4 linked regions of the Lytechinus pictus genome follow. The protein of the gene in region 2 binds, or shares a complex with, the protein of the main gene of each other region. Links are inferred from orthologs where the notes say so. Each region holds a gene or a part of one and is shown on either strand. Other genes may lie near its edges. The genes, in order: inhibitor of growth protein 3-like, ruvB-like 1, enhancer of polycomb homolog 1-like and p53 and DNA damage-regulated protein 1-like.

The links.
Region 1: ruvB-like 1 (region 2) and inhibitor of growth protein 3-like share a complex: the UniProt entries of both Homo sapiens proteins name them as parts of the SWR1-like complex. The link is inferred for Lytechinus pictus from reciprocal best matches to the Homo sapiens genes RUVBL1 and ING3.
Region 3: ruvB-like 1 (region 2) and enhancer of polycomb homolog 1-like share a complex: the UniProt entries of both Homo sapiens proteins name them as parts of the nuA4-related complex. The link is inferred for Lytechinus pictus from reciprocal best matches to the Homo sapiens genes RUVBL1 and EPC1.
Region 4: ruvB-like 1 (region 2) and p53 and DNA damage-regulated protein 1-like share a complex: the UniProt entries of both Homo sapiens proteins name them as parts of the PAQosome complex. The link is inferred for Lytechinus pictus from reciprocal best matches to the Homo sapiens genes RUVBL1 and PDRG1.

The regions. Positions count from the first base shown.
Region 1 is NC_087247.1:64,846,052-64,854,751, reverse strand, and holds the start of inhibitor of growth protein 3-like, read right to left. Parts: upstream 3,703-8,700; 5' UTR 3,635-3,702; coding exon 3,607-3,634; intron 1-3,606. UniProt on the Homo sapiens protein: Component of the NuA4 histone acetyltransferase (HAT) complex which is involved in transcriptional activation of select genes principally by acetylation of nucleosomal histones H4 and H2A.
Region 2 is NC_087247.1:4,838,439-4,846,749, forward strand, and holds the start of ruvB-like 1, read right to left. Parts: upstream 3,654-8,311; 5' UTR 3,494-3,653; coding exon 3,350-3,493; intron 871-3,349; coding exon 651-870; intron 1-650. UniProt on the Homo sapiens protein: Possesses single-stranded DNA-stimulated ATPase and ATP-dependent DNA helicase (3' to 5') activity; hexamerization is thought to be critical for ATP hydrolysis and adjacent subunits in the ring-like structure contribute to the ATPase activity.
Region 3 is NC_087247.1:14,834,674-14,843,008, reverse strand, and holds the start of enhancer of polycomb homolog 1-like, read right to left. Parts: upstream 3,579-8,335; 5' UTR 3,273-3,578; coding exon 3,120-3,272; intron 296-3,119; coding exon 139-295; intron 1-138. UniProt on the Homo sapiens protein: Component of the NuA4 histone acetyltransferase (HAT) complex, a multiprotein complex involved in transcriptional activation of select genes principally by acetylation of nucleosomal histones H4 and H2A.
Region 4 is NC_087246.1:64,627,022-64,635,174, reverse strand, and holds the start of p53 and DNA damage-regulated protein 1-like, read left to right. Parts: upstream 1-4,380; 5' UTR 4,381-4,777; coding exon 4,778-4,867; intron 4,868-6,082; coding exon 6,083-6,170; intron 6,171-6,938; coding exon 6,939-7,016; intron 7,017-7,639; coding exon 7,640-7,720; intron 7,721-8,153. UniProt on the Homo sapiens protein: May play a role in chaperone-mediated protein folding.

The sequences.
Region 1 (8,700 bases), about 60 Mb from region 2:
GAAAGTCAGATACTTTGAAGCAATATCATCAATGATCTCATGAATTCACAAGTTGGGATTTTATCATGCTCCAAATTGTCAGTGCAAATACCTAAGATAATCAATTGTATTGTTCAAACACAAATGATACAGATTGTGATCTGAGTATGTTGCCAGATCTAGCTTCATCTTATCCTAATATTATGTGGCATACCGTTAATTCTCAGAAAAATATACCAAAACAAGAGCTAAACTTTCATCATTAACTAACTTCTAAAAATAGCTTGAATGACATGCAGATTCTAGGAGTTATTACATCCAGCTATCCTCAAGCAATTGAGACTGACCTCAGTCTGTGACACTGAGCCTAATATTTTGTTTTCATGAATGCTGCCTTTTGTCATATATAAGGAAGGGAAAAAAAGAAAGAACTAAAGAAGGAAAGGAAGGAAGGAGTAAAGAAGGAACAAAAATAAGAAAGAAAGAAAAGAAAAAAGAAATGAAGGAAAGAAATGAAGCAAGCAATACAGAAAGAAAGAACAAATCCAGAAAGTAGTAAAGGAAAGAAAGAAGCAATAAAAAGGAAAGGGTAAAAGGAGAGATGGAAAGAAGGACAAAAGAAAGAAAGAGAGGAAGGAAGGATTGAAAGACGGAAGAAAGGAATTAAGGAAGAAATAAAGGAAAGGTAAAATGATAGACAGAAGGAAAGAAATAAAGGAAGGGAAGGAAAGAAGCAAGCAATATAAAAAAAGAAAAGATGAAAGGGAGAAAAAAGAAGGACTGAGAGACAAAGAAAGGAAGGAATGAAAGAATAAAGGAGAGAAAGGAAGCCAGCAGTAGAAAAAAAAAGGAAGGTAAAAGGATAGATTTAACAAAGGGAAAAAGGAAAGAACAAGACAGATAGACGAAAGGAAGGAATTAATTTAAGAGAGAGAGGGCTTAAAGAAGGAAGAAATAAAAAAAAAAAAAAAGAAAGGGTAAAAAAATGATGGATGGATGGAAGGAAGAAAGAAAGAAACAAAGAAAGTAACAAAGAATGAAGGAAAGAAAAGGGTAAAAAGAAGGAAGGAAAGAAAGGAAGAAGAGAAGAGATGAATATAGGATGGATGGACTCATGTGGCATCCGGTTCAGGACACTCACACGTATTGCGAGGTTAGTATGCTATACAATTATAACGATGTACTTTGAATTGTAATAATTACTGAGACAATAATATTAATGATATATCAATAATAATCATCATAATAATAATACTTATAATTAAAATAAATATAATTGTAGAAACAATTATAATTATAGTAATTATAATTATAGGCCTTATAATTAATGAGACAATAATAACTATTATTACAATAATACTAATTATTATAAAATAATTATAATGATAACAATTATAATGAAAGTAATTATAATTGTAATAATTACTGAGACAGTAATATTGAAAGGTCATCAATAATTATTATTATAAAAATTATTATGATTATAAAAATAATCATAATTATAATTAAAGGCCTTATAATTATTGAGACAAATAACTATTATTACAATAATAATAATTATAGAATAATTATAATGATAACAATTATAATGAAAATAATTGTACTTGTAATAATTACTGAGACAGTAATATTGATAAGTCATCAATAATTATTATTATAAAAATTATTATAATTATAATTATAATCATAAAAATAATCATAATTATAATTATAGGCCTTATAATTATTGAGACAATAATAATTATTATTTCAATAATAATTATTATTATGAAATAATTATAACAATAATTACTATGATAGTAATTATAATTGTAATAATTATTCAGAAAATAATATTAATGAAACAAAAATAATTATCATAATAATAATTATCATAATTATAATACTTATTGGGACAATAATGAAACGATGATGAGACAATAATAATATCAACAATTTTATTGAGACCATAATAACAAGACAATGAGATAATAGACAATTGAAATCAATCTCTTTTTATTTTTTTCTAGAAATCCTAAGATTATTATTTTAATTCTCTTTCTTTGATTACAAATTATATTCATTGAAAACTTAATTTCTAATGTTCAAGGCAAGCAAAGAAAATCAATATCAAGTCATGTTTACCCTGTGCACAAACCTACCACAGGGCAATTACCCCCGAAATAGGGTTAGGTTAGGTGTAGATTTTTGGATAGGGGTACAGTGTAGTTGTCCGGAGGGGGGGGGGTAATTGTCCAGGGTGGGTGGGGGTGGGGGGAGGGGAATTGTCCGAGGGTGGGGGGTGGGGGGTTATCGTCCAGGGGTAGTTGCCCTTGAACCAAAGAAATCATATGCCAATATGTCAAATCAATCTGAGTACTTTAAGATTTAAATAAAAAGCTTGTACAATTCCCCATAAGCTATGTATTATAAATGTGCCATGCCCAAAACAAAGAGAATAATAAGATTTCGCAATCTTCTTTTGTCCACAAAAAGGCCTGTTTTTTCATCACAAAGATGACAATAACTCGACTTCTAGATATCGGAATTTGAAAATTCAAACAGTTTTGTGAATCGTAGATATTGAGCCTCATTGTGAGCCCATCAAATATGCTGGAACAGCCTTTCCTAATTTTCACCTGAAGTGCCTAGAATTAGCGGTAACTGCGGTCTAAGGTACGATATTTCTTAATTTTATACATTTTTTCGTAAATATGGATGTGATTTCTTTTTCATAATGTGACATTTTATGTACAAAAAAGCGATCGGAAAATCGGGTTTCCGCCGAATGTTAGATCTAACGTTACTGCTAATATTAATAAGTTGTCTGTACGTACGGGCCTCCAACTAGTCCAAGCTTTTCAGTCTATGTAACTATTGGTGAGTGAGCCAACGCAGTTCTGTGGAACAACCAAAATACAGAGACTGAAGCTTTTGGTCTAGCCCCATACTAATTACTACTATACTAGGCCTACTAGACCAAAAGCTTCAGTCTCTGTATTTTGGTTGTTCCGCCAAATACAATTTACAAACCACAATCCACATAATATACATACTAAACTTTCACCACATACCACATTATAAGTTAACTGAAAATCCCTCTATTAATTGGTTCCAATCAACATTTGTCTAGGGTGGACTTGACCTTTACAGCATGCAAAATATTGTGACCGGAAATACTCTGCCATTAATTGTACATTCTCTCAATGGAAAGCTGTGGGCATACGTTCAAAGGATTGACCGAATACGAGCACCCCTTTCTATCCCATAACAGTAGATACGGTAGGATGGGGGGTCGGGTGTCCGGACACTTTATATTTTTGAAGCCTTCTTTTTGTCTTTGGATTACACTAAAAATATGAATTCAATAGTTGTAATCATCTTCTATTTTGTTCTCTATAATATTTCCTAACATTTTGTACTAAAAATTGATGAAACTTCGCTTGTAAATTTTTCCAAATGACTTTCTAAAATTGATCGTCCGGACACACAACAACTGGGTACCGGTACCGCACCGTACGCACACATTTAAAATTCCCGCAAAATGATCTTTCCCATTTATTACCGATATTATAAGCTGTACGTTACTTTTTGTACATCGAAACTTATAGTTAAAGTTAGAAGTGTGAATTATAACAATTTACTCACTCTCAAGGTAATCTTCCAAATACAACATCTTCGAATATTTTCCAGGGAATCACCGAGCGATTGGACTTCGGAGAATACTCAACTTATTACTGTAATATTGGAACGGCAGATGGCGTTTTTGACCATGTTGACGGCCGGTAGGTAGTTGTTATATTCAGTATAAACACTGGGATCAGTGAGGTAATTTAGTTGTTTTCTTAGGAGGGAGTGATAAATTTTGTGAAAATAACTTTGAATCTTTAATTTTAGTTTTCAAATCACAGGAGGGATGGGAGAGGCCTCAAAATAGGTCTATTCATAATTTGCATTTGTTTTTAGGACATGAAGAAAAGTCTTTCTTCTTTGGGTTTCATAGTAGGGACAGTCTATGGGAATGTGTTTGAGTATGTTTGCAGAAGTGTATGTGTTATGTTTGTTGGGGTGAAGGGGAATGATATGTTGGGTGTTATGTTTTCCAGTTCTGGTGTCTGTCTGTATTTATCTCATCTCCAGTTTAGTTTAATAGGTTATTTTGTCATTTTAAATAAATCAAGCTACCAATTTGCAGTAATATTATCATTCATATTTTTGTTCCAAATTTTTTGTCAGAGGTTTAGACTTTTTGTGTTAATTGATGTCGGGTAACTTAAAATTACTTTCGGTCAATGTCAGAGGGTTGAGAGATAGAATCAAAAGGAATAAAATATTTCAGTGGTGTCAGATGATGGGGGATATAATATTTTTGCAGGAAACTTTCAGCACAAAAGACACTGAAGGTGGATGGAAGGCTGATTGGAAGGGGGAAATGTTTTTCAGTCATGGAAGTAACCACAGTAGGGGAGTTATCATAATGTTTAAATCAAAGGTTGATTTTCTCAAAGAAAAAATTATCATTGATAAAGAAGGACGATATGTTATAATTAAAGGAAAGTGTCAAGGTGAAAAGATTATATTGGGCAGTGTATACTTTCCCACATAAAGAAAACTCACAATGTAATTTTCTGTCTGATTTAGACAAAGTTTTATCTTCTGTAGTTGGTCAAGAATATTCTCTTATTGTTGGAGGAGATTTTAATATTGCTATGAATCGAAACTTAGACTACATGGGTGGAAGTAATATTTCGAAGAATAGATATAAAGATTCATTGGTGGATTTTCTTGATAGGCTAAATCTAATTGATGTGTGGCGGAAGCGGCATCCTAACAAAGAAAGAATTTACCTTCAAACAAAATAATCCCTTCGTTCAGAGCAGATTGGATTATATTTTTATCTCCTCGAAATTAGAAAAAGACGTGAAAAGTTCAAACATTTTACCCTCAATCACTCCTGACCATGCTAGTTCAGGTCGAGTTTGATAATTTAGTCGAAAGTTTTGCATATGGGAGATCGTACTGGAAGTTTAACAGCAGTTTATGCTCTGATAAAGATTTTGTAGACGGAGTAAAGATGAAGATTTCTGAAATAGAAAGAATATGGCGGGACCAAATAACAAGCAAGATTAAATTTTGGGAATTTATGAAAATGAAGTTAAGAGAATATATAATGGCATTTTCCCGTGAAAGAGCAAAACTCAGAAAAATTCACATTGAAAAATTACAAAAAGAAATTAAAGATTTAGAATATCGCTTGACGATCACTTTTCATATTGATATCCAAAACGAAATTGAATTTAAAAAAGAGGAACTAGATAAACTTTTCGACTATTCTCGTCAAGGTCTAAAGGTCCGTTCAAGAGCCCAATGGTTTGAGGAAGGACTAAGAAATTCACAGTTCTTTGAACAATTACTTGAATCCAATAAAAGGAGAATTAGTGCGATTAAGAAGATTTATAATAAAAATGAGGAAACGGTGCGAGATTGCAAAGGTATTATACAAATCATTCGGGAGTTTTATAAAAATTTATATGCATGTAAAAATCTTGAAACTAATGATGATATTGAAAACATGTTTTTTAGTGATTTACCCAAATTGAGTAAAGAAAATAGAGAGTTTTGTGAATATCCGATAACACATGAAGAATGTTTTCAGGCTTTAAAGGAAATGAAATGGAATAAATCGCCTGGCAATGATGGTTTTACCGCAGAGTTTTACTTTACATTTTGGCCACTTTTAGGGAAAATCATAGTTGAAGCTTTCAATGAGAGTTTTGAAGTTAAAATGTTGTCAAATTCGCAGAGACAGGGGGTAATTACTCTAATTGAAAAAGAAGGCAAAAATCCTTTGCACATGAAAAACTATAATATAGGCCGATAACTCTTTTGAATGTAGATTATAAAATTTTGTCAAAAGTGTTAGCGACAAGGGTGAAAGAGGTCTTGGGAGATATTATTCATTGTGATCAAGTGGGTTATGTCAAAGATCGTAATATTGGGGAAGCAGTTCGGTTAATTGATGATATGTTTTTTCAGTCTTTGTATCAACCCTTAGGTTTTTTAATTGCAGTGGATTTTGAAAAGGCGTTCGATTGTATCTCTCATAAACTTTTATTCAAAACTTTAGAACATTTCGGGTTTGGGAAAAATCTGTGTTCTTGGGTCAAAACTCTTTATTATAATGTTAGTAGTTGCGTGTTGAACGGGGGGCATTCTACGGGATATTTTGAAGTTAATAGAGGAGTAAGGCAGGGGGATCCACTCTCTCCATATTTATTTATCATAGCGATTGAATTATTAGCTCATTACACTGGCGTAAATCCGTGTTGATGGGTGGGGGGGATGACTGAAATATTTTGGCATTTTTTTTGCAATCATGTTTTTAGATATGCAAGGAATTGCCATTGATATGTCCACAGTGGCGTACCGTGGGTCACGGCATGGGGGGGGGGGCACCAGCAAAAAAATTGAATCACTGAGTGAGTGCGCTAGTGAGCGCGCTCAGTTGCCAGTTATACTGACCTAATAGAGACATTTTTAAGGACAATGTCATTAAACTGATATGTATCTCACTGATCAAATAATGCGAGCGCGAAGCGCGAGCTGAAATTTTTTTATATTCACACCTAAAAAGGGACATTATAATCAAATTTGTGTAAACATGATAGGTACCTGTCTCGCTAAACAATGCGAGCGCGAAGCGCGAGCTGAAAATTTAGATAATTCAGACCTGAAGTGGGGCATTCTAAGGTTTTTTTGTAAGAATTAACTAGGACCATACGTATTCCATTAACCAAATGATGCGAGCGCAAAGCGCGAGCTGAAAATGTTTGATATTCAGATTAGAAGGGACATTTTAAGGACTGATTTTAGGAATTTATGAAAAGCAGACATATCTCACCAATCCACTAATGCGAACGTAATCACGGACAGGAAATGTTTCATATAAACGAAGACCTTAACATTGGGCAATCACTTTTTGAGTCGTGAAAAAGAAGCATATGTCACTACATAAAACAATGATAACTCAAGTGCTAGGAAATATATTTGGTTTATATTGACTTGAAAACGGGATGTTTTAGTACAACAGGATTATATATCACGTTAAACAGACAATGCGAGCACCAGGAACAATGAAGACGTAGGCCCTGGGCAAATTATGTTTCATAAAGTTATGATAAATATGTTTCTTATGTAATGTAACATAACATAATTATAATATAATATAACATTATAATGAATAATATTTTCTTCTTTCCCACTACGTTTCTCTTCCTTTCTCCCTCTTTTTCCTTTTCCCCTTTCCCCGTTTTTTTTTGGGGTCAGCCGATGGGGGGGGGGGGGATGTGCCCCCCATGCCCCCCGTAGTTACGCCACTGTATGTCCATATGGCAAATACCCCTCCAATATTATTATCTTTTTTACCCCATGATGGTTTAATGGTTTTATTAGAGGTTACATTTAAAAAAAATTGACATTCCATCTTAATCCCTTCCCAAAGACCCCAACATTGATGAATTGGAAGAAACGGGGGTTTCTCTTCAATGTTATAATAAGGACATAAGTATTTCGTTTGGAAATGGTGAACTGGCTCTTTATTTGCATTTTATGATTCAATAATATTGTTTTATTTGTTAAGCGGTATTTTAGGAAGAATTTTCACCAATAAAACAATTATCTCTTGTGATTTTTTTTTTATTTATTTCGCAAAAAGTGGGGGGGGGGATGTTTGTACAGGCCATCCCCCCCCCTCCTCGAAAAGTGGGGGGGATATATCCCCCCCATCCCCCCCGGGATTTACGCCAGTGGCTCATTATATTAGGAGAGATGTTAATATTAAAGGGATAGGATTTGGGAAACGGGAAATAAAACAAGTTCTGTATGCAGACGACATTACATTGTTTTTAAAAGATATGAACTCGATCCATAGAGTAAAGAAAATATTCTCAGATTTTGAAAATTTAAGTGGATTGAAGATTAATATGGATAAAACAAACTTTTTATGGTTGGGAGAAGAAAGAGATAGACCTGGTTTACCACTTCTTGGACATTGGTTACAACATATTAAAATCTTAGGGGTATATTTCGCACGGGATTGTAAAGTCAAAGATGACTTGAACTATAAGGAAATCTTGAGTAAAATTAAAAGACTTATTGGTTGGTGGAAGCAGAGAGATCTTACGATGTATGGTAAAATAAAACTTTTGAAAATGTATGCATTTTCAAAATTAAATTATGTTTCTTCCCTGATGACAGTCCCAAAAGACGTTTTTAAGGAAATAGAAAGAATTTCTTTTAATTTTATTTGGGGAGGAAGAGATAGAATAAAACGCAAGGTTTAGTTCTATATCAAGACTATTCTGTTGGAGGACTGAGAGCTCCAAATTTTTTTGAGGTCTTTGTTAAGACCCAACGAATAATGTGGATTAAACGTTTGCTAGATGGAGGGAAAAGTTCGGGTTGGAAAGCAACCTTCGAATATTTTTTTAGCTCTTTAGGTGGTCGAATCATATTTCTGTGTGATTATGATACGAGTAGAATGAATTTAAAAGGTATACCATTATTTTACATAGATATGCTGAAGGCATGGCACGAATTGGATAAGTGAAGACATTTTGGAGGGAAAAGTAATCCCATTATTTTTAATAACAAGCGTCTATGCCTTAATAATAAGACCTTTTTTGATATTGAATTATTTCAGAAAGGTATAGTTAAGGTCTCGGATATAATAGTTGGAGGTAA
Region 2 (8,311 bases):
TTTTCTCATATCCAATATTTTCATTCATAATTATGTTTGGGGTAAGTTGGAACATGTTCCAACTAGCCCCTTCAATTTTGTTCCAACTAACCCCGGAGGCTCATTTGACGTTTATAAGCTTACAGCACAAAAAAGGGACTTCACCATGGCATATTAATAACCTCATTTTGTAGCTTGGTATAAGTGTCTATTATACCCCTAAACTGGCCAACTTGATCTGTAAACTTCTCTGAGATAATCAAACATTTCTGAACGAGAAAAAATTTACTCAGAAGGTCAAAAAACAAAAATTTGTTTCTAACTTCACCAGGCTTGTTGCACATGTGTTGCCTGTAATATGGTGGATGGCCGTTGATAATGACAATAACTTGAGGGCAGTATTGCAGAAATTTATTTAAAGACGTTAAAGAAAATTACAATGTTTCAACTTACCCCATGTTCCAACTAACCCCGGTCTCCCCTACATCTTGCTAGTTATAATAATAATAACAATGCGCCTCGGAATAGAATATTTCTAGATAGATGGCGCTTTATAAAAGCCTATTATTATTATTATTATTAGTTCTATTTCCGTTCCCAAAGTTGATCCCAATAGAGAAAACCAAAAATCTAAACAACAAATTTGTCACATTTGGGATTTATCTATTTACCTATTGCCCTTCTGAAGTTCTCCATCAGCACCTCTGTCTTTTTAATCTCTGATGAGAAGACCTCGCTTCCAACCATGGGGCAGAAGGGTACCTTGTTGCCAAGCTCCTGGGCGATGGCAAGGGCTAGAGCCGTCTTTCCTGTCCCAGGAGGCCCTGCTAGCAGGATGGCTCGGCCAGCCATCTTCTTGGAGCGTATCAACTCTACAACTACACCAGCAGCCTGTAAAAAAACAAGTTAATATCAATATGCAAAATGTAGACCCTGTGCAAAGGTGGAGACTTAGAATGCAGTCTATTAAGATGAGTGTGTCAGATGAGTGTGTCAATTTGTGAACCATTCTTTTCTTATAGAGTGACTAAAATAGTTCCAGGGAAATTTCTGATTTTCTAAGCCCTCTTTCCTCTTTACTTGCCAATTCCATCACTTAAAGGAGAATGAAACTCTTGGAGCAAGTTAGCTTTTGTGAAAGCAGAAAAATCAAAGAATAAGATCAACAAAAGTTTGAGTAAAATAGGACTAGCAATAGAAGAGTTATGAGCATTTGAATGTCGAGGTCACTAATGCTATGGAGATCCTCCCATTGGCAATGCAACCAAGATCTATGATGTCACAGATGAACAACTCTCCCCTTTTGGACGCTGAAAATATACCCCAAAACATCTCTTTTTGCTCATTCTAATCATATGACAAACGATTCATCAATGATATAATGTTGTGAAACCTCTTTACTTGTCCTCTCATAAAGAGAACACCTCACCTTCTAATAGACTCTATAAAAGTGAGAATATAAGTGAAATAAGTACGAAAGTAATGAGGGAGTTGTACGTGTGTGACATCACAGATCTTGGTCGCATTGCCAATGGGAGGGTCTACATGGCATTAGTGATCTCAATATTCAAATGCTCATAACTTTCTTATTATTCATTCAATCTTCCTCAAACTTTCAACAATATGTTTCTTTCATTTTTCTCTTTGATATGGATTCAGCTGGTTTCAAGGGTTTCATTCTCCTTTAAGTTATTGAGCAAGATAAATTAAAAGTAAAACAGACTTTAGTACAAACATAATTTTTGCTGGTAAACGCCAAGCTGGTATATAACCAATTACCTAGGAAACATTTTACGTCTAGGTTATTCAGTCATAGTGGCTGACCCTATAGACGACAGATATTACTCTTGGGCCTTTTTATCAAAGTGGAGACAATAGCAGAGTGAGGATTCAAACTCACAACCTTGTTGTTGTGCACATGTCACAACCTTGCGATTATGAGTCCAATGCTCTAACCACTAGACCACACGACCCGCTGGACTATGTCTTGCTTCTTATTACAGGGTAGGCCGATTTAGATCACGTTGATTTAAATTGCGATTTAAATCACTATTGTTTTTCAAATCACTTTCATTGAAACATGTACAAATGATTGATGATTCTTTTTTGTGACACTGACAGTTTTATTTATGTGACTCAAAAGAAAAAGACTTATAAACTTTGTATCATCTAAACATGAATAAACCCTTCATATCTACTAAGAGCAATTGAAATCAAGACAACAAATTTAAGTTAATCTTGCAAAACCAAAGATGTACATGTGATGTTACTACATGTAACTTAAAAGTGGTTAACACTTAGACCACTCAAGGGTTCATTACATGCCGCAACTCACAGAAAAATCAAGGCTAGAACTTTAGAAGTCGTGTGTTGTGACCAGCCAGTAAGAAATCCACTGCCAAACACGGTTCTTGGTGCGAGATAAGTATATGACCTCGCACTGTACTAACGTTAGTGTGAGTGCACTACTTAGTCTTTAGACCCCTATTCCCTATAATATTCCACTTTTATTTTTAAAGTCAGCGGACAAAATTTTGGACGCATTACGCCGCCATCTTGTTTCTCAGACATTGTTCTTCGCCAACGTAACGGATGCATTGGCATTGTTCTTCGCCAACGTTACAGACGCATGCATGCGTAGACTGGCAGTGAGACAAAACCCCTTCAGTGTTAGAGTGGTTAATGACTGGAACTCTTTGCCTACTGAGGTAATCACAGCATCAACAATCAATGGCTTCAAGACAAAGTTAGACAAGTTCTGGTCTGCGTGGCATTATGTTCACGCATGGGAATAGTGCCTATTTCATTCCAATACATTAATTGGCACAGCACATTGCACAAATAGCACAGACTCAGTTTTCGAACTTATCCAAGCTAGGAAGACAACGAGATAGACCTGGAAACTTGACTGCAGCTGCAGGAACAACTGTATTTTTCCAGTAGATGCGGTATAAAGGTATAGGCCTAGCCTATAAAGGTATAGGCCTAAAGGTAACGTTGGCGAAGAGAAACAACGAGAAACAAGATGGCGGCGTAAACATCTCGGCAAGTTTCCCCTGTCTTTACACAATACTTTTCTTGTTTTCTTAATGAATTCTTGTTTAAAAATGAAATCGATAGCGTAGAAATGTCGGTAATGAAGTTGTATCCCGTAGGCCGTACTCTCTACATACATGATTTATGGCTAGAAAATTTAGAAAGTAGAAATCTTGGGGCGAAAGTTTCTGGTTTTTTGGTGGCACGCGTACATGAATGGGAAGGAATCCCTGGCTCCGTGGAGGGTAAGCATATATTAGTAAATGATTTTTACTCTCTAGGAGCCTCCTGGCTAGCCTAACGTTATTTCGATCTAATGTTTCGATCTACCAACCTCTCTGGCCATTTCTTGACCAATCAGACCTGCAGTTGTTTTTGATGATGCATTTCCAGAGTCATCAAGTCCAAGGCCCTTCACGTGAGTATGACTCGCTATTCTTTGAGTCTTCGTTGTACTTTTTACCTCCTCGATCTTCATAGTTGCTCCTACAACTTGAGTCTATAACTTGATTTGATTTATTTTCTTAGAATCCGGGCTTAAACGATAGATTTGCTGTGGATCTTAACCAAATTGTCCCGGCAAGTTGTATCTAACATCAACATCAACGCATGGGGTCTCAGTGAATTGTCTGAGTAACGAACGAAGAGGGCAGCAACACCAGCAGCTGTGGTGCAGCCATAGAGATGTATACTAGTAGTAGTATACATCTCTATGGGTGCAGCTCAATTAACTGCTTTGGGTTAAGATAATTTTTGTTTGAAAATTTTTATCACGATGTTTATTATTTTCCTTTGTTATATTGCTGTATGTAATATTATGATCTGAATAAAGGCTAAAAAGCTTTAAAAACAAGGGGTGGTATTCTGAGATCCATTTTATCTCAGATAAAATAAAATATTTTATCTCCGTTAAAATCAGTGAGATAAAATACCCTTAAAATCTCTCCGAATTAGTATTCTGAGAACAATTTTATCTTCATTTTATCTCTGTAAGACACACCTATTTTTTAATCAATATCCAATTAAAAATGCGCTTTTATAGCTCTCTCATATCACTCAACCAATGAAAATCCATTCCGCCAGGAGGTGTGGCAAAGGAGTGATATTGCGTCAATTTATTGACTTCAAATACGCTTGCAAAATACGCTTGCGCGTCTTTACAGAGATTTCTTTAAAAAAAATGACAATACTCTCATCTTTTTTCGAAGTCTATATCACATCTTTTCAAGCATCATTTCAAAGACAATATTAGTCAAGAAAAGTTTTATGAAATACTTCCTGATTGTACAGGAATAACATTAAGGTATTATTCTCAATAAATATATAATTTTTCTTAATTTTCATGTCAACATTTGTAGTTAATTCACCAAGAAATAATGATAAAAGCAACGTCGCAGAGATAAAACAGCCCCTACCCTCTTTTAAGTTTATTTTATTTTTTCTTCAAAGTAACATGGGCGCAAGCACATCATCCGCGTTGCATGGCCAGATACGCGATGGGTATGTCTACGCAGGCACTCCTCTGTTGCGTATCATCTGTAGATACGCAAGATAAAATTTATATGCAAGATAAAATTCAAAATTTTATCTGAGAGATAAAATGTCATCTCAGAATACCAATTTCATTTTAAGAGATAAAATAAAATATTTTAAAGATAAAATTACCTCAGAATACCGCCCAAGAACATTAAAAGGGCATAGATCTAATGTGCTTATTTTTTTTTAAATTCTATTGATTTCATTTTTTTAGGGGGGGGGGGGGGTTGGGGCCCCGAGGGATAGCCTGACGGCCTAGTCGGGGCAAACAACTAAGCTAAAAATAGAAATTGACTCGGAACACCAGGAAAACACGGACATGACCCGACCCGATGCATGTACATTTTGGGGGCGCAATCAATTACATATGGAAAACTAGCGGACAGAAGGTCCTCGCTGCACGCGCGCACCCTTATAACACGCAGAATTCCCTTGCATTATACCCTTTTTTCACAAACAAATGTGTATCAAGGACAAGCGTTGATTCAGATAGAATTTCCGCCCCCCTGAAATGAATGGTAACAACTTCTTCTATCAGATGAGGAAATAGGGCACTTTTATCATCAAATCAGAGGAGATTTTCTTTGTGATAGTGATGTCCGAAGAGCAAACCTACACTCGTGACGGGTCCATTATGTATACGAGGGGTGCATCCTAGCTTACCACTGCATAGCTAAGTCTGAAAATTAAGTTTTGCTTATTTCTTTCATTTTATAATGATGTTTAAATGTTCAAACAACGATAATTCATTAAAATTGACTCAAAATATTGCGAATCAACGCTGAAACATTATCTGTGTATACATTTTATCCCTCCGTGATGCTATTTCCCCCATAATTAAAGCCGCAATGGAACATTCCGCACCCAGGGCCGTAGCCAGAAGCATTTTGTTGGGGGGGGGTGTACCAGCTAAATTTGCCAACTAAATTTGGCGTGACAGCGCCAACGTGAGCACAGGGGGAGTCTGATGGGGGATGTGCCCCCCTACAATAATCACATGCTAAAAGATTTTGAATTTTTAGAATTGAATTAGTGGCATTTGGTGAATACTTTAAGGTAAATTATACAAAGATAAAAATAAACATTTTGGATCAAAATAGAAAGGCTATAGTGTGCCGTAGTTGCTAACTTGCAGTATAATGATATACCCTATATGCATTAATAATATCAAAATCAAAGATTTGTTAATTTTTAATTGACCTTCTGTGCAAGATGTCTCAACTAAAATTTCAAGAGCGCTACTGCTAACAGTGGCGTACCCTGGGTCACGGCATGGGGGGGGGGGGGGGGCACCAGCAAAATTTTTGAGTCATTAAGTGGGCGCGCGAAGCGCGCTCAATTACCATGTTTACTGACCTAATAGAGACATTTTAAGGACTGTGCCATTAAACGGATATGTATCTAAGTGATCAAATAATGCGAGCGCGAAGCGCGAGCTGAAAATGTATTCAGTCCTAAAAAGGGACATTATAAGCAAAGTTTTGTAATCATGATACGTACCTGTCTCACAAAACAAACAATGCGAGCGCGAAGCGCGAGCTGAATTTTTTTGTATAACTTAACCCTAAAAAGGGACATTTTAAGGACTATCTTTTGGAATTTATGAAGTGCGTACGTATCTCATCATAGTCATCTAATGCGAGCGCCAAGCGCTTGCTGATTCTGTTAAAATTACTCTGGTACATGAAGCACTTTTTGTGGTCATAATTGTAATCATGAACATGATACGTATTTCACTAAATAATGAAATGTTGCGGGCGAGAAGCGCGAGCTGACAATGTTTAAAATTTAGACCTGAAGAGGGGCATTCTATGGCTTGTTTGTAGGAATTTACTATTTCACAAATTAAGGGGTGCGAGCGCGAAGCGCGAGCTGAAAATTTGTTGTAATTAGATCAGAAAAAGGGACATTTTAAGGACTGTCTTTAGGAATTCGTGCACTGCAAAAACGCCGGTGTTGATTTAACACCAGCCCGGTATCTATATCGGTCCACACCAATGCGAACGTAAGCAGAGACTGGAAATGTTTTATTAAGGCCTTAAAAGGGGGCAATCACTTTAAGTATATAGTCATGAAAAAAGCATATGTCACTACATAAAACAATAATAACTTGAAGTGCGAGGGGATAATTTGGTGCATAATCTTCATGGACTTAAAATACAACAGGACTATATATCTCATTAGTCAGACAATGCGAGCACCAGGAATGATGCAACCCCAACCTGCCCCCTCTCCCACCCATCCCCACCCCAAGCACATTCTGACACCATAAATAAATAAAAAATCTTCGGCGACAGAATTTAGTAAAAATAACTTAGAATATTTTTGTGTTTTTGCCAACTGCAAACTTGTAGACAAGTCTACAAGTTGTAGACCTGTCTTCATGAATTTGCCAACTGAAGAGTTACCAGTTTTTTAAGTCTTGTGTTCTGTTCTTTTCAGATCTGAAACGGGGCAGTACTTGTACATCACTTTGCTGACTGGTAGAGCGTGTAGTGTTCTGCCACTTTAATAGGCCCACTTTATAATTTGCCAACTATACTTTGGCTTTGATTATTCAACTTAAACCTTGGAAATTCATCCTACCCCATATTTATTTACCTAGTCTTGCCTCTGATTTTACAAAACTAATGTGTTTGTTAAATCGTCAATAATTGTGGTATAATTTGCAAACTCACAAGCTTGTTTATATTGGGGGAGGACCGGGGCTTACTTTGTGTGTTATTATAGCTCCATCTGTTTTGTCCTTTGTATTTTTCTGACTATAGGGCTCTAAGCCTGACTACATGGACTTGGATTTGCCAACTGGTTGTCTTTACTCTAAACGTCGTAACCTTCTTCGAAGTTAGTACCCCTATTTTTCTTTCCTTTTTTTTCTTTATTTCTTTCTTTCTTTCCTCCTCTCTCTCTCTCTCTCTCTCTCTCTTTCTTTCTTTCTTTTTCTTTCTCTCCCCCTCTCTCCTTCTTTCTTTTTTCTCTTTCTTTCTTTCCCTCTTTCTTTTTCTCCCCTATCCTCCATTTTGCCAACTGGTACATGATTTTGCCGACTGCCATGAATGTTGGGGGGGGGGGGTGTCACACCCCCCATACCCCCCCCCCCCCTCTAGCTACGGCCCTGTCCGCACCACTAGTCATACGATGATCGCGAGGTCTGCAAACGTCGTCTGCTATGTTTTTACATGTCCGGTACACTGCATACAAGTTTTCGATATGATGAAAGGGCATAAAAAATAATGTAGCCTAATTAAGGCATGGTGAGTTGGGAAAAATGCATTTTTAAAGGGGTCCACACTCCACAGATCCCGACGGCCTATAGCCGGGGCAACCGGGTATAGCCTATTACGGGTAGAACTTGACTTGAAAAAACACTAGCTTGACCATGGTGCATGCACATTTAGGGGGCGTAAATCAATAAAATTGCAGGTTAAGAGCTATATAAAGCAGTTAGTATTGTTCAAAGGCCCCGGAGGGATATCCCGACAGTATAGCCAGGGCAACCAGGTGATCGAGGTAACCTCATGGGTATATAGAGCCCTACTCGGGCAACAAGAAAAACATTAGCTTGATCCGGCGCATGCACATTTAGGGGACACAAATCAATGAAATTAGGGTCTATATTATAAGAGCATATTTTTTTTAAATCAAATGGCTCCGGTTCCCAGGGCTATCCAAATTTTTGGCCAAGCCGGCCGGAGCACAGGTAGCATAACATGTAGAGATTGACAAGGGCAACCAGAAGAACAATAGCTTGACCCATTGC
Region 3 (8,335 bases), about 10 Mb from region 2:
TCCCTACACCCCCCACACAAACTTCAACGGAACTTAATCTGATACACATACAGCACAAAAAATGTCAACAGGAAAATTCAAGATAAAAAGTAGAGAAAGAAGGCAAAAGGGAAGTCACGAAAGAATTATTGTACTCACGCTGCACATGAATGTACTGTCTGTTTTGTTTGCAGCTTGCATCATACAGATTTTCATACAGTTCCTGGTTGGAGAGAACCTCAGGGGTTGGAATAACCAGATGATTTGCTGAGCCATACACTTGCTGTGCTGAAATAGCCCTTTGCAAATGATGCTCCTGTTGAATTAATCAAATTTTGAAATTAATTTATAAAAAAAAAACCTTAAACTTGATAAAATTCTGATGCAGGACAAAAATTAATCCAAAGCTAGAGCGACTCCTGAAGGAGACACTGGCACTTTCTCTTCATCATTGATGCTACAACTCACACATAGAATTGAATACATGTATGATACCGGTATAAAGCATTTATGATTTGAATGGGTGTCATAGGTTCCCTCTCTTAATGTTTTGTAAAAAACCAAGCCAAACTTCAAGACTATATTTCACATATTTGAATTTCAATGAAATTTTCAGCATTATGAATAATAAATAAATAATACGTAACTTGTATCTAGCACATGTATCCACCATGTTAGGTGCTCAAGGTGCTCCTATATTACCCTGGCTAAGCTGGTATTCTTTTTTTTCGGTGCTCACAACTTTTTGAGGAATTACTGCCTGCAGGTACCCATTTACATGTACCTCACCTGGGTTGAGTCAAGGAGTTTTAAGACAAGGGGAACCATCCAACACTTTCTCTTTATTGCCACTTTGATGCCGCAATGGTAAAAATATGTTACACATGTGTTTCATTGCATATTTCTTGCAGATTGTAGACCAAAGATTCCTAAAGTCAAACTTATAGGTGAATTACAAAAGGAAAAATGCTTTTGTAGTAATTACTCCCGAATTACTCTACGCTGCCTCTGGTGGGATAATATGAGCAGACACATTGCTCACTTTTACAGGGAACAGCAAATATAAAAGTTGCAATATATCTTGAAATATGATTTGAAATTACACGACCTGTTGCATTTGGCCGCAGTTCTGACACATACATGTAGCATCACAAATTAAACTAATAATATTTTTATAGTCTGGACGTTTGTGGGATTTTGTGAAATGTTGATTTTAAAAATGTCAAATTATGAGGTTTTTTATCAGTTTAAATCTTTTTTAAAACTTAAAAAAAACTTAGCTATTGGCAAACTGGGCAAATGACTCTCAATCAATAGAGGGCCTACACAAAAATGCTCAAAATCACATTTTTTGTGCACTCTGAATAAAAAAAAAGATCCCCAAGTTAATAATTCACAACTTAAGGAAAAAAAGAATTTTTGGTCAAAGCGCATAAAATAAACATAACTACATGTAGACCCTACCATCACTTGTTCACTACAACCACCCTGCCTGTGGGAATCTACATGTATAGGCCTACAAGTGGATCTATGCAGTATACAACACACATTAAAAAAAAATCATTAAAATACCACTTTTGTAACCAAATATACTCATTTCCATACATCTGCAATTTAATTTAATTCATATAGCTTAGGGATCATTTTTTCATTCACCAGAGAGCATAAAAACTTGAATTTTGGGCATACTTTTGTGTAGGCCCTCTATTGGTGGAGAGTAAAATTGCAAGAAAACATTTACATTCTTCATTTTTAATATGGAAAAAATAATCAAAAGAATTCAATTTACTTCAAGCCAAGTTATACGATGAATAGTTGTAATGGAAATTGACAGTGTAAAAAATCACAAGAACAAGAGAAAATAAGCCAAACATTGCCAACCTTATTTCTCCACACAGGGGATAAATAGTAACAGAGAACAATGTTATATCATAACCTTGTTCATTGAATGAGTGCCTACCACATTATTGTTATTTATATTATTTGTTATTAATATTATCATTATTGTTATTAAAATATTATCATTGTTATTAATATCATCATCATCAATATTATAAATTACATTATCATTATTAAATTATAATCATTATTATCATAATTATTATCATTATTATTACTATTAATATCATATAATTATTATCATTAGACCCCTATATTTGTTTAATATTGTAAAAAAAAAAATCTGACATGTGAAAATTGGGAAAAGGAGGACACATGTCTAAACATTAAAAAAAAAAAAGTTGCACAAACAAAATAATAAATATCTGTATTCTGTGTATTGGTCATATTCTAAGATTTTGTCAGCCTGTCAATAACATTTCTGCTCTTAATTTGTTCTTATGAACTTCTTTGGTAAATCTACTGTGACTGTGTACATGTAGACTTCTAATTTCAGGGGAAAAAAAGGCCAAGTTGGTTTCATTAAAAAATTCAGAATCAATAATTCAAATTAAGGTCAACTCATCATTTCATGTAAACAAATAAATGTACATTTTAATAGTGAAATCATGTTTACATTCATCGTGCACATGTCAGAGTTTATTGCACAACACAGAAATTTTCCCTCTAAGTCTAACCCTATCTACACATAATGGACTTGTCCACCATTCATCATCCACTTATGAATAATTCATGAGCATGCAGTGGAGAATAAATATCACAAGTGTATCATAACCTTAAAATTTCTTCTTTTTGTACAGCTGAAAAAAAAATCATCATCATTAAACAGCTCATACATGTTTAAATAAAAAATTAATAAAAAATAACTCAATTTGGTTTAAAAATAATACGGTGACCTAATTATTAGCATGTGACGCATGCGGGACCGTCCATTCTCAAAATGGGTGAAGTCAACATTTCACAGAGGAAAAAACTTTCAAAAATCGAATTCTAAATCGAATCAACTTACTTCAGTTCACATATTTCTTAATTTGAATAATGAAAGCATCTAATAAATAACCGTGAATAGATATCTCATTGAAAACAAACCAATAAATGTCGCAAAACAATATGAATTATTCGTCTCGCAAAAAACGTCGGTCCCGCCAAAAAGGGCGTGATTTCAAAATGGCCGCCAGATCCGGGTAACCTCATTATATATGCAAGACCAACGGACTAATTTGCATGAAACAAAAACCTACCGATTCTTCTTCTTTTTCCATTCCTGTGGGCATTTGAGGAACTGCCCGATTGGTAGTGGAAAAATCAGGCAAATCTGGAAGCTCATCTGTTGTGTAGATGGGCATCGGCTTCGCGGGATCGGGAGCCCGAGCTCGAAAACTTAGCTTGCTCATGATGACGGAGTGTCAACGATCCCTTAAAAATGCCAGAATGTGCCTCTATAGGCCAAATAGGCCAAAATCACCGAGCTGAAGTCAGAAATAGTGGTATCATCCGTCCTCTCATTCAGATAGAATCTGGAGAAATGTGCTAAAAATCACAAATGAAGGCAAAATAACGGTAAATTTTCCGCCTTTATACATAACAACATGGCGGACAAAAAATTCGCAACCTTCCCAGAATTCCTCTGGATTGATCACGTCTGCGCGCGCATCTCATAACGTGTTGTGTTCCCACGGCGGAACCCGGGAATTGTGTGTGTGCATTCGGCCTAAACCATTTAAAAACAGCTGATGGCTTCAGTAGTAGTGAACGGTGTACACTTCAGGATTAGACCGCTTGTAAACTTAATAGTGCAATTTGCTTTAACTGAATAAGAGCAAATTTGACTGTTTTTACCAGTCTTTTCGAGACTCTAGCAAAATTTAATGTTATAAGATCAAAGATATTAAGATTATCAACAGCTGAATATTTCCATTTTTAAACAATATTTACAGTTTTTCTGCTCATTCTCCAATTTGCCGAATTTTGGACTGCCTACTTGTTTTTGTTTTTTTTTTGCTTTTGGTGAGAACAAATCATCGAAATATAGGCCCTATAGGCTATTAGTAATATTTTCCTGGTAAACTTTACGGAGTAGGGGAAGGCAGCCTAAAAACCATTTAGCTCAAGTTTAAAACAAAAGTCATGTTATGTTATTATCTTGGCTACTATCATTGGCGGCGGAAGCCAAAAATTTTAGGGGGGACGCAGGAAACAAAATTGACAAGCAAAAAAAAAACAAAAAAAAAAGGTCATCAACAAGAAATTTAGGGGGGATCGTCCCCCCACCTCAAATTTAGGGGGACACGTCCCCCCCCCCCCCCCCCGCTTCCGCCGCCTATGGCTACTATTATGATTGAACCAATAACTCGAAAATGACTTCAGCGATTATTTATAAAAATATCAAGGCCAAGATGAAAACATAAAATATGACAACCAGGCAGGTTGTCTAAAAAAAATCCGGGAGTAGTCATGATTGAGCCCATCACGCTTTTGATAATTGGTCGAGTTGCATATTTTTTTATGATAAGATTTAAAATAAAAACATAAATATTTGTTTTAACAGTTGCGTAAGATATTTAGAGTTGCGTTTGATTGCAAAAAGTTTCTGCAACGGGCCTCTGATCGTCTCAATTTTTTTTTCTGGAGAATCAAATCTAGCCATGCAGCCTACCCCCCCCCCCCCGCCCTGTCCATCGCAAACAAACATAAAGGATAATGATAATTATAAAGGTTATACCAGGATGTGCATGTTTTGTGAAATTTAGCGAAAGATATATGTATAACTTTTTTATTTCACATTCGATTTTGATGAAATTTTCAGTGTTGTGCTTATTGAATTTTTCTCTTTTTATTAAAATAAACTTTTCGTTGGGATGGAGTCCGTCCTTTAACACTATGATCTAGCTCGATAATTTTTTTTCAATTTTAAAGTGAATTGCCTTTGATGGGATATGGCAATATCAATATGTGGAGCGTTGTGGCCCAGTGGATTAGTCTTCTGACTTTGAAACAGAGGGTCGTGGGTTAGAATCCCAGCCATGGCGTAATCGGGGCGTAATTTCCTTCAGCAAGGAATTCGTCCACGTTGTGCTGCACTCAACCGAGGTGAGATGGGTACCTGGCAGAAATTTAATCCATGAAATGCCATCGCGCTGTATAAAGCTGCGGGGCTAAAGCCAGGGGAATAATATCCAAGTCCTTCGGAGGCGCATAGGGACGTTATTACATGTGATATGCGCTAAAAAAAAAATACAAGAACTGCGTTATTATTATTATATCAGTGGAAAAATAATCGTCTTCACTTTTTTTTAATGCCTATATCAATTAATATCTTCATTTCTTTCATTTGCAAGGACTATACCCTTTCCAATAAAATGAGGATAATTGTTGCCATTCGATCATTTTGTGTGTTTGTGGATGTCAATTAAATGATTTTCCATGTGAACTGATTTGCCCTAAATTGAAGTATATGCATGTTCAAAAGGGGTTCAGTATCGTTTGCTTAACAAGTTAAAAAGTGGGGGCGCTCTTCCCATGGCACTGATGTGAAAATCTGAACACTGTCGTCATTCTTACCACCATTTTCTCCTCTCTTCATCTTTATCATCACAAAATAAAGAACACATAACGCACAACAAATATCCACCTCTAATTGTCTTCCTTCTTTTTTCAAACATTTTTTAATAAAAAATTATTTGTACAAAGATACAAAGCAGAAGATACTTATAGAGTAGGAGATGATACAATATTAGATGGGTATATCCCGTAGCCAGTTTTTTTTTTTTTTGGGGGGGGGGTCTGAATTGTAAAAAGTGGACCTTTCTACTTTCAATGATCAGGCCCGAACTCATGTTTAGTTCTGTTACTTCCAGGGACGGATCTAACTTTCGCCAATAGGAGGGAGTGAGGCTAGGGGCGGAAGACAATTTATTATTGTAATCCATCTTTCCCAGATCGGCCGCTAAAAGATAAAGGCTGCTGCAGTTACATTTTTAACTTTATTATTAAGAACAAGATAAGGTGTCTCATAAAGTATAAATAATGTGAACGCAAAGCGCGTGCCAAAATTGGTAATATGACATGATAAGGGAGTCAAGGGACCTGTTTCGGACTTAGTGTTTGCAGAGGCTCACGATCGAGGAGGATACACATCTCACCAACCAATGAGAGCGCGAAGCGAGAGCTGAAAATTATCATTTTCACTGGAAACTTGTCATTCTAAGTACTTTTTGTAACCATGACCAAGATGGCTATCTAAACAATTGATAAGAGCGCGAAGGGCGAGGTTAAATTTTTGATATTCCGACCTAAACTTGGACAGTTAAATGTGCATATCAAATTTTAGGTCGGAATATCAAAAATTTATAATTTGTGGCAGCGCGAAGCGCGAGCTGATTTTTTGCGATTTAGACCTTAAACGGGAGATTCTAAGCATTTTTTTAACAGAATGGATATCTAAAATAACACTATGTGCATGAGCTTTGAAGCGCGAGCAGAAAATTGTTGATAATTATTCCTATCTGTAAATATTGACAATGTAATAACCTTTTATTTTTTTCATAAAGAACAAGATATCCAGTAAAGAATTAATGCGTGAGGTGATTTTTTAGGGACATTCCATTCACTTTTTATAAACATGAAAAGGGTGGGTATATCTTGCTCAATAAATGACACAGGCGCAAAGATGAAACATTTTATATTCCAATCTGAAAGCTGTAAATTAGGACGTTTTTAAATAAAGAACTACTGTTCAAATTATCTCAATGATGGGAGTGTGATATACTGACCCGAAAGGGAACATTTTAAGCACGTTTTAACACGTAGGAACACAATGAAGAAGATATTATTAGTTTGAGAACAATAGACTAACAATGAGCATTAGAATGCTGAATCACGAATGCAATGAGTGTTACTCTCAATGCTAATGCTATGGATAGACACTCATTGGTAATGTGATCAAGGATTTGTGATATTACAAAAGTACAACCAGTGGCGGATCCAGGGGGGGGGGGCACAGCCGGCCCGTGCCCCCCCCCCCCCCCCCCCCCCCCATTGAGAGCCATAATCAAAATTTGTAATGTTAATATACGGTTTTAACTTAATATACCGTTTTCCTTTTGAAAGTGAGGACCTTTTTTTTTTGCTTGCTTGTCAAATTTTCACAAGGAAAATGTGCCCCCCCCCCTTTTGGAAAATTCTGGATCCGCCCCGGCCGGAGTACAACTCACCCCTTTATACATTTAAAATATACCCAAACATTTTTTTTTTTCATTATCTTAATGATAGCAACAATCTTTGCCCACGATACATTTTATGAAACCTTCATTAAAATGTCCTCCCATGAAACAAAACCACCTCGTCTATGGATCTTCTTGGAAAATAAAGATAATTCAAGTAAAATATCTGCAGAAAGCTTTATAGGGGTTGTGTGTGGCAACATGTTGGTTGTATTGCCAATGCGAGAATGTCCACATCGAGTGATCTCTGTAGTCAAATGCTTCTAAATATCATTAATTTTGTCTTTCAAACTTTCATTGATTATTTTGTTCCTTTCAGATCACACAAGCTAACTTGTTCCAAGTGTTTCATTCCCCATTCAATGGTAGCCTATAATATTTGCTTTTTTAGAATAAAAAAAACAGAGAGGCAAGAGGAAGCGAACCCTTTTTTTGGGTAAAAGTAAGAATAAAAATAAAAAAGAGCAACACTGGTGTTTTGGTAGCCCCCACCCCTATGCATGCACATACTTGTTATTTTTAATTTTCTTTTTTTTTGGGGGGGCAAGTATATTTTCGGGGGTCACTTTAGGAAGAAAAATATTGAAATGGAGGTTTGAAAAATTTTCCATAATAATTTGAACAATCCTACAATTTTGGGGGTTACTTTCCTAGCTTTACCTGTATCATATACCTGTATGATTTTGCTGGATTCCATTGCAAAAGCCTGTGAAGGGGGGGGGGGGTAAAACGCCTAAACCATTTCCATTCTTTAAAGGAGAATGAAACTCTTGGAGCAAGTTAGCTTTTGTGAAAGCAGAAAAATCAAAGAATAAGATCAACAAAAGTTTGAGTAAAATAGGACTAGCAATAGAAGAGTTATGAGCATTTGAATGTCGAGATCACTAATGCTATGGAGATCCTCCCATTGGCAATGCGACCAAGATCTATGATGTCACAGATGAACAACTCTCCCCTTTTGGACACTGAAAATATACCCAAAACATCTCTTTTTGCTCGTTCTAATCATATGACAAACGATTCATCAATGATATAATGTTGTGAAACCTCTGTACTTGTCCTCTCATAAAGAGAAAACCTCACCTTGTCATAGACACTATAAAAGTGAGAATATAAGTGAAATAAGTACTAAAGTAATGAGGGAGTTGTACGTGTGTGACATCACAGATCTTGGTCGCATTGCCAATGGGAGGAACTACATGGCATTAGTGATCTCAATATTCAAATGCTCATAA
Region 4 (8,153 bases), on a different chromosome or scaffold from region 2:
TGCTGATTGCAATGACCTTACATAATGAAAATTCAAGGTGAACAAAAACAAACTGGAAAAGAAAAGGGCTTTTATCTAGTAAATTAAGGACACAAATGGGGCTCTTAATCAAAGGGGCACGTATACTGCAGACTCAGAGACTCCAACACTCCCGCTTTCGGCGGGAGATCTCCCGCCGAAAGCCCTTTTTCGCAAAATCTCCCGTTCTCCCGATTGAGATTTTATATCTCCCGCCCAGGCCCTGTGTCTCCCGCATAGGATGTATTTTCTCCCGCCTTAAATGATCTTTCTCCCGCCCAAACACCTTTTTGAAAACCGGAATTAAACTTTCATATCCAAGCCGATATTCAAGTTAAGACTAAAGTAGAGCGTCAACGCTGCGCGCGATCTCGCCCATCGCTATGGCGTTTGGAGCAATCTTACTCCAGAGATCATCAAGTCATTGAGACAAGATGGATGGAAATGTCAACTTTAAGGCCGTGAGGTAGTATGTCTTCACTGGTTGATACGGATAAAGGTACCGTATCACAAAAACGTATGATTTTGTAGATGCTTATCAATTTTATATGCATGCATAAAAGTTTTATTAAGTTTTATCAAGCCAAAATGTATGATTTGATTCATTCAATTGTTAATTACTTGGTACCCTCCTAAGTCGTACAGATGGGTGGGGGGCAAAAAAGTCATGAGGGTGAAATGTGATATTATCATTTTTTAATGTGTCGAAATCTATAACAAAATTGGATTTCTGAAATAAAACATCAAAATTTTCGCTCGCTCGCAACTGTTTATCAATTTTACGCGATATGCCATATCTAGCCCCTTCGAAATTTTTAGCTCATTACGCTACTGATGCCATCATATTAAATAAATAGCCTGATATAGCATAAGAGAGCATTTAGAACCCTTTGAGTGGGCCCATGCAGGACCCCGCCGCAAGGGACTTCGCGCTCGTGATGTGCGCAAAAAACATCAAATTAGAGTCTCCAGGCGGGAGAATCTCCAGATCGGAAGGTGTTTGGGGTTGGAGTCTCTGCAGACTAGATAATTCACTATGATCAACTGAAATAAAGGGCCGGGCAATACTTTTGAAAGTGATTAAACATGCGCTTGCAGAAGGATCAAAGGAAAATGGTTGCTGATCGGGGCATGGCAGAGTGGCTTTGAGAAGGGTAACGAGAATGAACATCTCAAAGTCGTAGGCAAAGTTCCCAAGATGAAAAAGTAGACTGGATATTTTCTTGGGTAAAAATTTTAAGGGGCACTCTCGAGCTTACACAATAGGCCTAAGGGGTGGTGCCGTACGTGCCCGGCCTGCTCCCAAGGAATGCCGCCCCCCCCCCCCAGCAATATACCCCTTTCTTTCTTTCTTTTACATGATAAGGCTTACTCTCAGAAATTTTGCTCGAAACATATTTCATACTCTCCCGGGTTACTGTACTCATCATTAGCATTTTGGGAACATATATAGTGATATTGAAACTTGGTCTGAAAAATGAAGGCTTTCTAAATTCTCTGAGTCAAGCACCTCTAGGGCTTGATGATTAATGAGTACAAATTTGGGAATTAATGGGTTTTTTTTTTTGGGGGGGGGGGGTGAGATGGTCTCAATCGAAAAGGTATATAGGCTTCTCTACATAAGAAATGACATTGCATTTAATATAAGAGAAGACTTGACTCCAAGAAATATTGAATCATTGTGGATCAATATTCTATTGCCTCGGACAAAGCCCATTACACTTGGTGCTCTTTACAGACCCCCTAAAGATAATAATTTAATTGAATCACTCTCTGACACTTTAGAAAAATTTAAAAAAGATGATGAGATTATAGTGTTGGGGGACATGAATATTTGCCTTTCGAAAAAGTCTCCTTTATCCCAGAAATATGAGAATTTACTTAATCTAAGTGGTTTAAGCCAACTTGTAAAGCTGCCCACACGTACAACTCAGACATCTTCCTCCCTGATAGATCACATATTATGTAGTAAAGAAGAGCATATTAGTCAAAGTGGTGTTATTGACCTAGGTATAAGTGATCATTTATTGATTTATTGTTCAAGAAAGATTGTCAGGCCCGTATTTGGGCACCACAGAACTGTGTCCATCAGGAGCTTAAAAGGTTATAATGTAGATGATTTCAACTTAAATTTATCCCGATCAGACTGGTCCAAGGTAACTGAATGTAAAGATGTAAATATGGCTTGGGCAAATTTTAAATCTATATTCTTGTCAATTATAGATATGAGCGCACCTCTGAAAGAGGTAAGAATTAAGCAATCAACTGAAAAATGGATGAACCATGAAATTATTGTTTTAATTAAAGAGAGAAATGTAGCTTACAAAAATGATGAACTAAATAGGTTGAAAATATCAAAAAGTACTGGTTTAGATATGATACCTGCAAGATTTTTAAAAGATGGGGCAAGAAATTTGTACAAACCTTTGAATTATGTTATTAATTTATCTCTTATGTCTTCTACCTTTCCTGATGATATGAAATTCGCAAAAGTTACCCCGCTACATAAAAAGAAAGATAAAACTGACGTTAGTAATTATAGGCCAATAAGTGTATTAAGTGTAGGCCCTAGTGTCGAAGATTTTGGAAAAATCTGTTCATGCTCAAGTGGAGAAATACTTCCAAGAAACCAACCTAATATATAAATTTCAGTCCGGCTTTCGTAACGGATATTCCACTGAAACTTGTTTAATACATTTAACAGATTTTATCAGGAATGAAATTTCACATGGGCGCATGGTTGGAATGGTTCTCCTAGACTTACAAAAAGCCTTTGATACTGTGAATCATAGCATACTTTTAAAGAAATTAGAAGTGATGGGTTTAGACTCTGCATGTGTGACATGGTTTAGATCATATTTATCTAACCGTCATCAGGTAGTTACCATGCAGACGGTTCTTTCTGATTCACTGCCTATTAAATGCGGAGTCCCTCAAGGAAGCATTTTAGGCCCCATTCTTTTTATGTATTACATCAATGATATGTGTACTTGTATTAACGAATCTAAATTAATTTTATATGCTGATGATAGCGTCTTGCTATATTCGGATACAAATCCCAAGATAATTGATAAAAAACTTAGTGCTGATTTGGCTAATTGCATCGAATGGATGTCTGACAACAAGCTTAGTTTACACGTTGGGAAAACGGAAAGCATTTTATTTTGTTCTAAACGAAAGTTAAGATATACACACGATTTCAAGGTTTCATATAATAATCAGGTAATTGAAAGAAAAGATTCAGTAAGATATTTGGGAATTAATTTAACAAGTAACCTATCATGGACGGGTCTGGTAGACTCAATCGCCAAAATGGCTAATTCACGCTTGAAATTTTTGTATATATAGATATCAAACCTGTTTGAATATGAAGTCTAGACGTATTTTATGCTTTGCGTTAATACAATGTTTATTCGACTATGCTAATGCGGCTTGGTACGGTAGTCTGGGTGTTACGGATAAGAAAAAGCTAAGAATAATTCAAAATAAAATTGTGAGATATATAAATGTTTTAGGACCAAGAGCACATGTCGGATATAATGAACTTGAAAAGGCAGGATTGCTTCATGTAGATCACAGGTCACAACAATTAGTATTACACCACGTGCATAAAATATTCTATTCGGATAAATTAGATCATTATATAGCAAATAATTTCACCTGGGTATCAAATATCCATAGGTATACGATACTCGAAATAGTAATTTTAATTTCGTATTACCAAAACGTGAAGGACATATTGTAAACACTTTTTATTTTAATGGCATCCAATCTTGGAATGCTCTTCCTGATAACATAAAAGCCGTTAAATTCTTTTGTCAATTTAAGAGTGCATTAAAAAATCACCTAAAACTGGAAACTGCCCGAGAACAGCATTACCAGTAAAATAACACATTTTGTACAGTTGGTTTCTAGTATAGATAATGTATACTAGTACATTAGGGTGTGTTGAAATATAATCTTGTTTCACATATTAGGAAGATTATTGTTTGCTTCAGATGTTTTCAAATTATATGACTGATGGATATGTTTGTATGTATTTTATTTTTTCCCCCCAATATTCCAGTACTTGTCGTAGTTTATATTTTTTGTTACAATATGTTAATGTTTTATACTAACTATAGGACCCCATTGGAAATAAGCCTTTCGGCTTTCATGGGCTATCAGTGTCAAGGTATTTCCTCAATTTCATTGTAATCTCCTGTGATATTCTTGACGAATAAAATCAATCAATCAATCAAGCATAAACCCGTGCAAAATGGACATTTTGCAAAGGGGATCAGCTAGCGAGGCTTTCATCTTTTTTTTCTCTCTGTCAAAGTTTGTGTTACAATTAGACCTTGTCATCGGCAAATACACACTACAGTGGGCCGGGGAGCTAGCTAGGGGAACCCCCTCCATTTCGGGGCTAAAAAAATGTTCACAAAATTCTCCAGAGACATCAATTTGAAGGGGCTGAGTTTTGGATTATGCGGGATCACACGTGAATTGGAATAGTCGAATTTGAAAACTTGTAAGTGGGCCCAGCAAAAAGTAAACAAAATAGAAATAGGCCTAATGAAAAATTATATTAATAAATCTTTGAAACAAAGTAGAAAAAAGGAAGCAAAACGTGATTCTTCCATTGAAGCCATATACGGTATGAATAAATGCAGCTAGCTAGCTGCAGCGCGCCGCATGCGGTAGTATAGTAGTGTGTGAGAGATGTCGCCTCGGCGAAATCAGCTAGGCCAAGACCAAGTCAACCGTTTCATGCAAAATGTCCAGATCCAGAGATACGAACTTCGTCTTAACGCATCTTGGTGAATTAGAGGCACTTGCAGAAGAAATTCTCACCGAAAAACAGCAGGTATGTTTGTTTTAAACTAGTTTTTTAAGGATGCACTGTTGACAAATTTGCTCGGTCATTGACATGGCAAGTGGCAGTGCGGCTTTGCCAGGAGGCTCCTAACGTAATACTAATAGAGGGTTACGGTACGTGTGACTTGTGAATAAGATAAGCAAAATATTCGCCCAAATTTGTAGTCGTTGTCTTAATGTAAAGTCAATGGAATACAAAACTAATTTTGTGACCATTTTGAACCCAAGTCTTCAACAGGCTCTAAGTCTAACTTCTTTGTTTTTGAGCCCTTTGAAGTAATTTAGGTATCCATGGAAAGGTGAATTGAAAGAAAGCTCAATTGATGTGTAACTGTAATCATGTCTCTTTGTAATTTTCCTTCGTAATTTGTGTGAAATAATTTTTTATAATTTTAATTAATTACGCAAAATAACAATCACTCGCCTCTTTTTTTTGCAAAATGAAGGTGATTATGATAGATAATTTATATCAAAATTAGTTGGCATCAAAACAGCTTCATGTAGATAATTTCCTAAATGAATTTGTTTAAAGTATTGTTTTTGTAATTTCTAATGTATTTCGTTGTTTTTCTGATATAAATTACAAGCTCTTTTTCAACTTTAGTATTGTATACATGTATGTACGGGGGTCTTTTTTTACATATGAAAATTATCATTCCTTTTGGACTTTGTATGACCAAATAAAAATACAAGTGTGCTATTTTCTGATGTATTTGATTGTTTCACCAATTCCTTATGTATTCTATTGTTTCAACAATTTGTTATACATGTATGATATGTAGCTTTTGATTTTATAGAGACAATGGACATTTGATTACAATTTTTTTCGGAGGGATGATCATGTTGTCGCATATCTTTTACTAGAATCTTGCAGATACCTGTGTGCACAGACTTAGGGGACCTTACCATACATAAAAAAAAACTGAAAATTTATTATGAGAATATCAGATGTATTGTAACTTACCGATGTTTACGTCGCCATCTTGTCCTCTTCATTAGTAGCTAAGCTACGACATGCATATAGAGGGGGCATGATGTTAAACCCTGGGTTTAACACTATACCCCACCCAAAACCTAACCCTAAACCCAATGGCAGTGAATAGATAGACCTAGATCAATAGCATTTTGATGATTCAGGCTCCTGGTATAGCAATAAATAGGCCTACTTGTTCACATTGCTTGTGTCCATTTTGTTTTTACTTAGATTGTAGATCTTGATCGAAAGAGAAACCAAAGCAGAGAAGCAGTTCGAGCACTCAAAAACCAGACAGAATCTCAGAAGAGTAAAAAGGGTATGTAAATAATGAAATTTCCAACTCCAGAGAAATTTTTACAGAATAAAAAAGCTGAAGCATTAATTGTGAATAATTGTGTTTCATTTAGAGTTCCCTACATTAAATGTAAATTATTTCATAAATTTCCATAACAAGTATTGAGTATTAAATGCTTACATTTTGAACATTCTATGGTCTTAAAGGATTTTCACATTTTGGTTTTAATTAAAGGTAAGTCCAAATGTTGAACAACTGTTTACATGTAAGCATTTTTGTTGGGGGGGGGGGGGGGTAAGCAATGGATATTAATGTGAATCAAACCATTGATGTAAACCTTATATTTCAAGTACCTTCTCTGGACTTTGAAAAAAAAAAGAAGAATTGTTGGGCATTACATGAGAGTTCAGTCAATAATAAAAAGCAAGTGAATACGGAATATGAAAGTTAGTTGTTAGCATGTGCCATCCAGTGGAGAATAGTACATGTACACAAGATATAAATTTTGCTTTTTTTTTTCAAAGTGAACATTTTCTTTATGCAAAATATCATATTTTTTTGGAAAATTTTATGCATAGTTGTCTGACTGAGGGCTCCTACATAACATATGTGTAGAATTGTTGCATTTTTAGCATTATTACATCTGTCTGTAAATACTTATTTCTTTTTCATATTATTGAATCTGCACACAATCTTGATAATTCTAAGATCGGCTCCTCTAGCCCTTATGCGAATAACACTGGTTACACCTGACTGATTTACTTATGTCCCTTTTATTTCTTCATGTAGAAGTCAAAACATGGGTCAGCTTCGGGAACACTTTCATCAAATTTCCAGCCAAGAATGTCAAGACGATGCTGACCGATGGTGAGTTGCCTGAAAACTGTTTACTTCTTTGAACATATTGATCCTGAATGACTGCATCAATGTTCATCATGCTACCCCTTCAAACAAAATATTCAATTATTTTCTTCCTTTTTTTTGTTGAGGCATTATTTAGGGCATTTTGCCGTTTTCACAGCCGTCAGACACATTAAAAAATAGGGCAAAATGCAGATTCTCCTTGCGTGAAGTATCTGAATATTCAGGATTACATGTAGGCTATTATGAAATCCAGGCAAAGTGAGGACAGAATTGAGGACCGTCCTCTTTGTACTTTGAATACAGTTAGTCAGTTGACTATCAGATATGACTCGTACATCACTCTAATGAATGGATCTGCTAGGGATCATAATGATGTTATTAGGTTGTATTGCTGAGCATCTGTGCTTGATTTCAGCAAGTAAACATTTCTCATTGCACTAAGCATAGTGAATTTGAAGTTCTGTCAGACCATTCCATTCCCACATATTCACATTTCTTTTGTGATCAGGCTTTGAAGAAGTATAGAGATTTGCTTTTATTGCACCAAGAGCTGTTACAGGACATTCTGTCTGTCAACTTCAATCTAAATGTTCCCATTTTGTTTGTGTATATACAACACCTTACAGATCAGAAGAAGCTGGACGAAGAGATCAATGATCTGAGGAATGGATTAAAGCCAAAGGTTGCCAAACTTAGAGAAATGGAAGGTACTGTAAAAATCCTCAATCATGTCTGCTTTCAAGCCTTCCATTAATTGGCTTTCTGCGTGGGTAAACATTCTCTAATACTATGTTATCATTATGGGGACTATAAAGTGAAATGTTTACCTCAAATAGTTGGTGATTTCATGTACGGTGTTGAAATCTGGTGTTGGTGTTGTGACAACACCAGCCACAACACCGTACTTGAAATGATGCTCGGAAAATATGACATACAGTTGAGGCTAGAAGTTTACATACACCCAGGAAATTCAAAGAAAATTAGACACTTGCCAAACTTCTTAAAATTTACTGTATCTAATAAAATATTTGTGCTATCATGATGAATTTGATATCAAACGAATGAGTACTAGTATGTCACCCCCCTTCATCACATTGCTTTGTCATCAGGAGATGAAAAATATTTATTTGTCATTTTTCC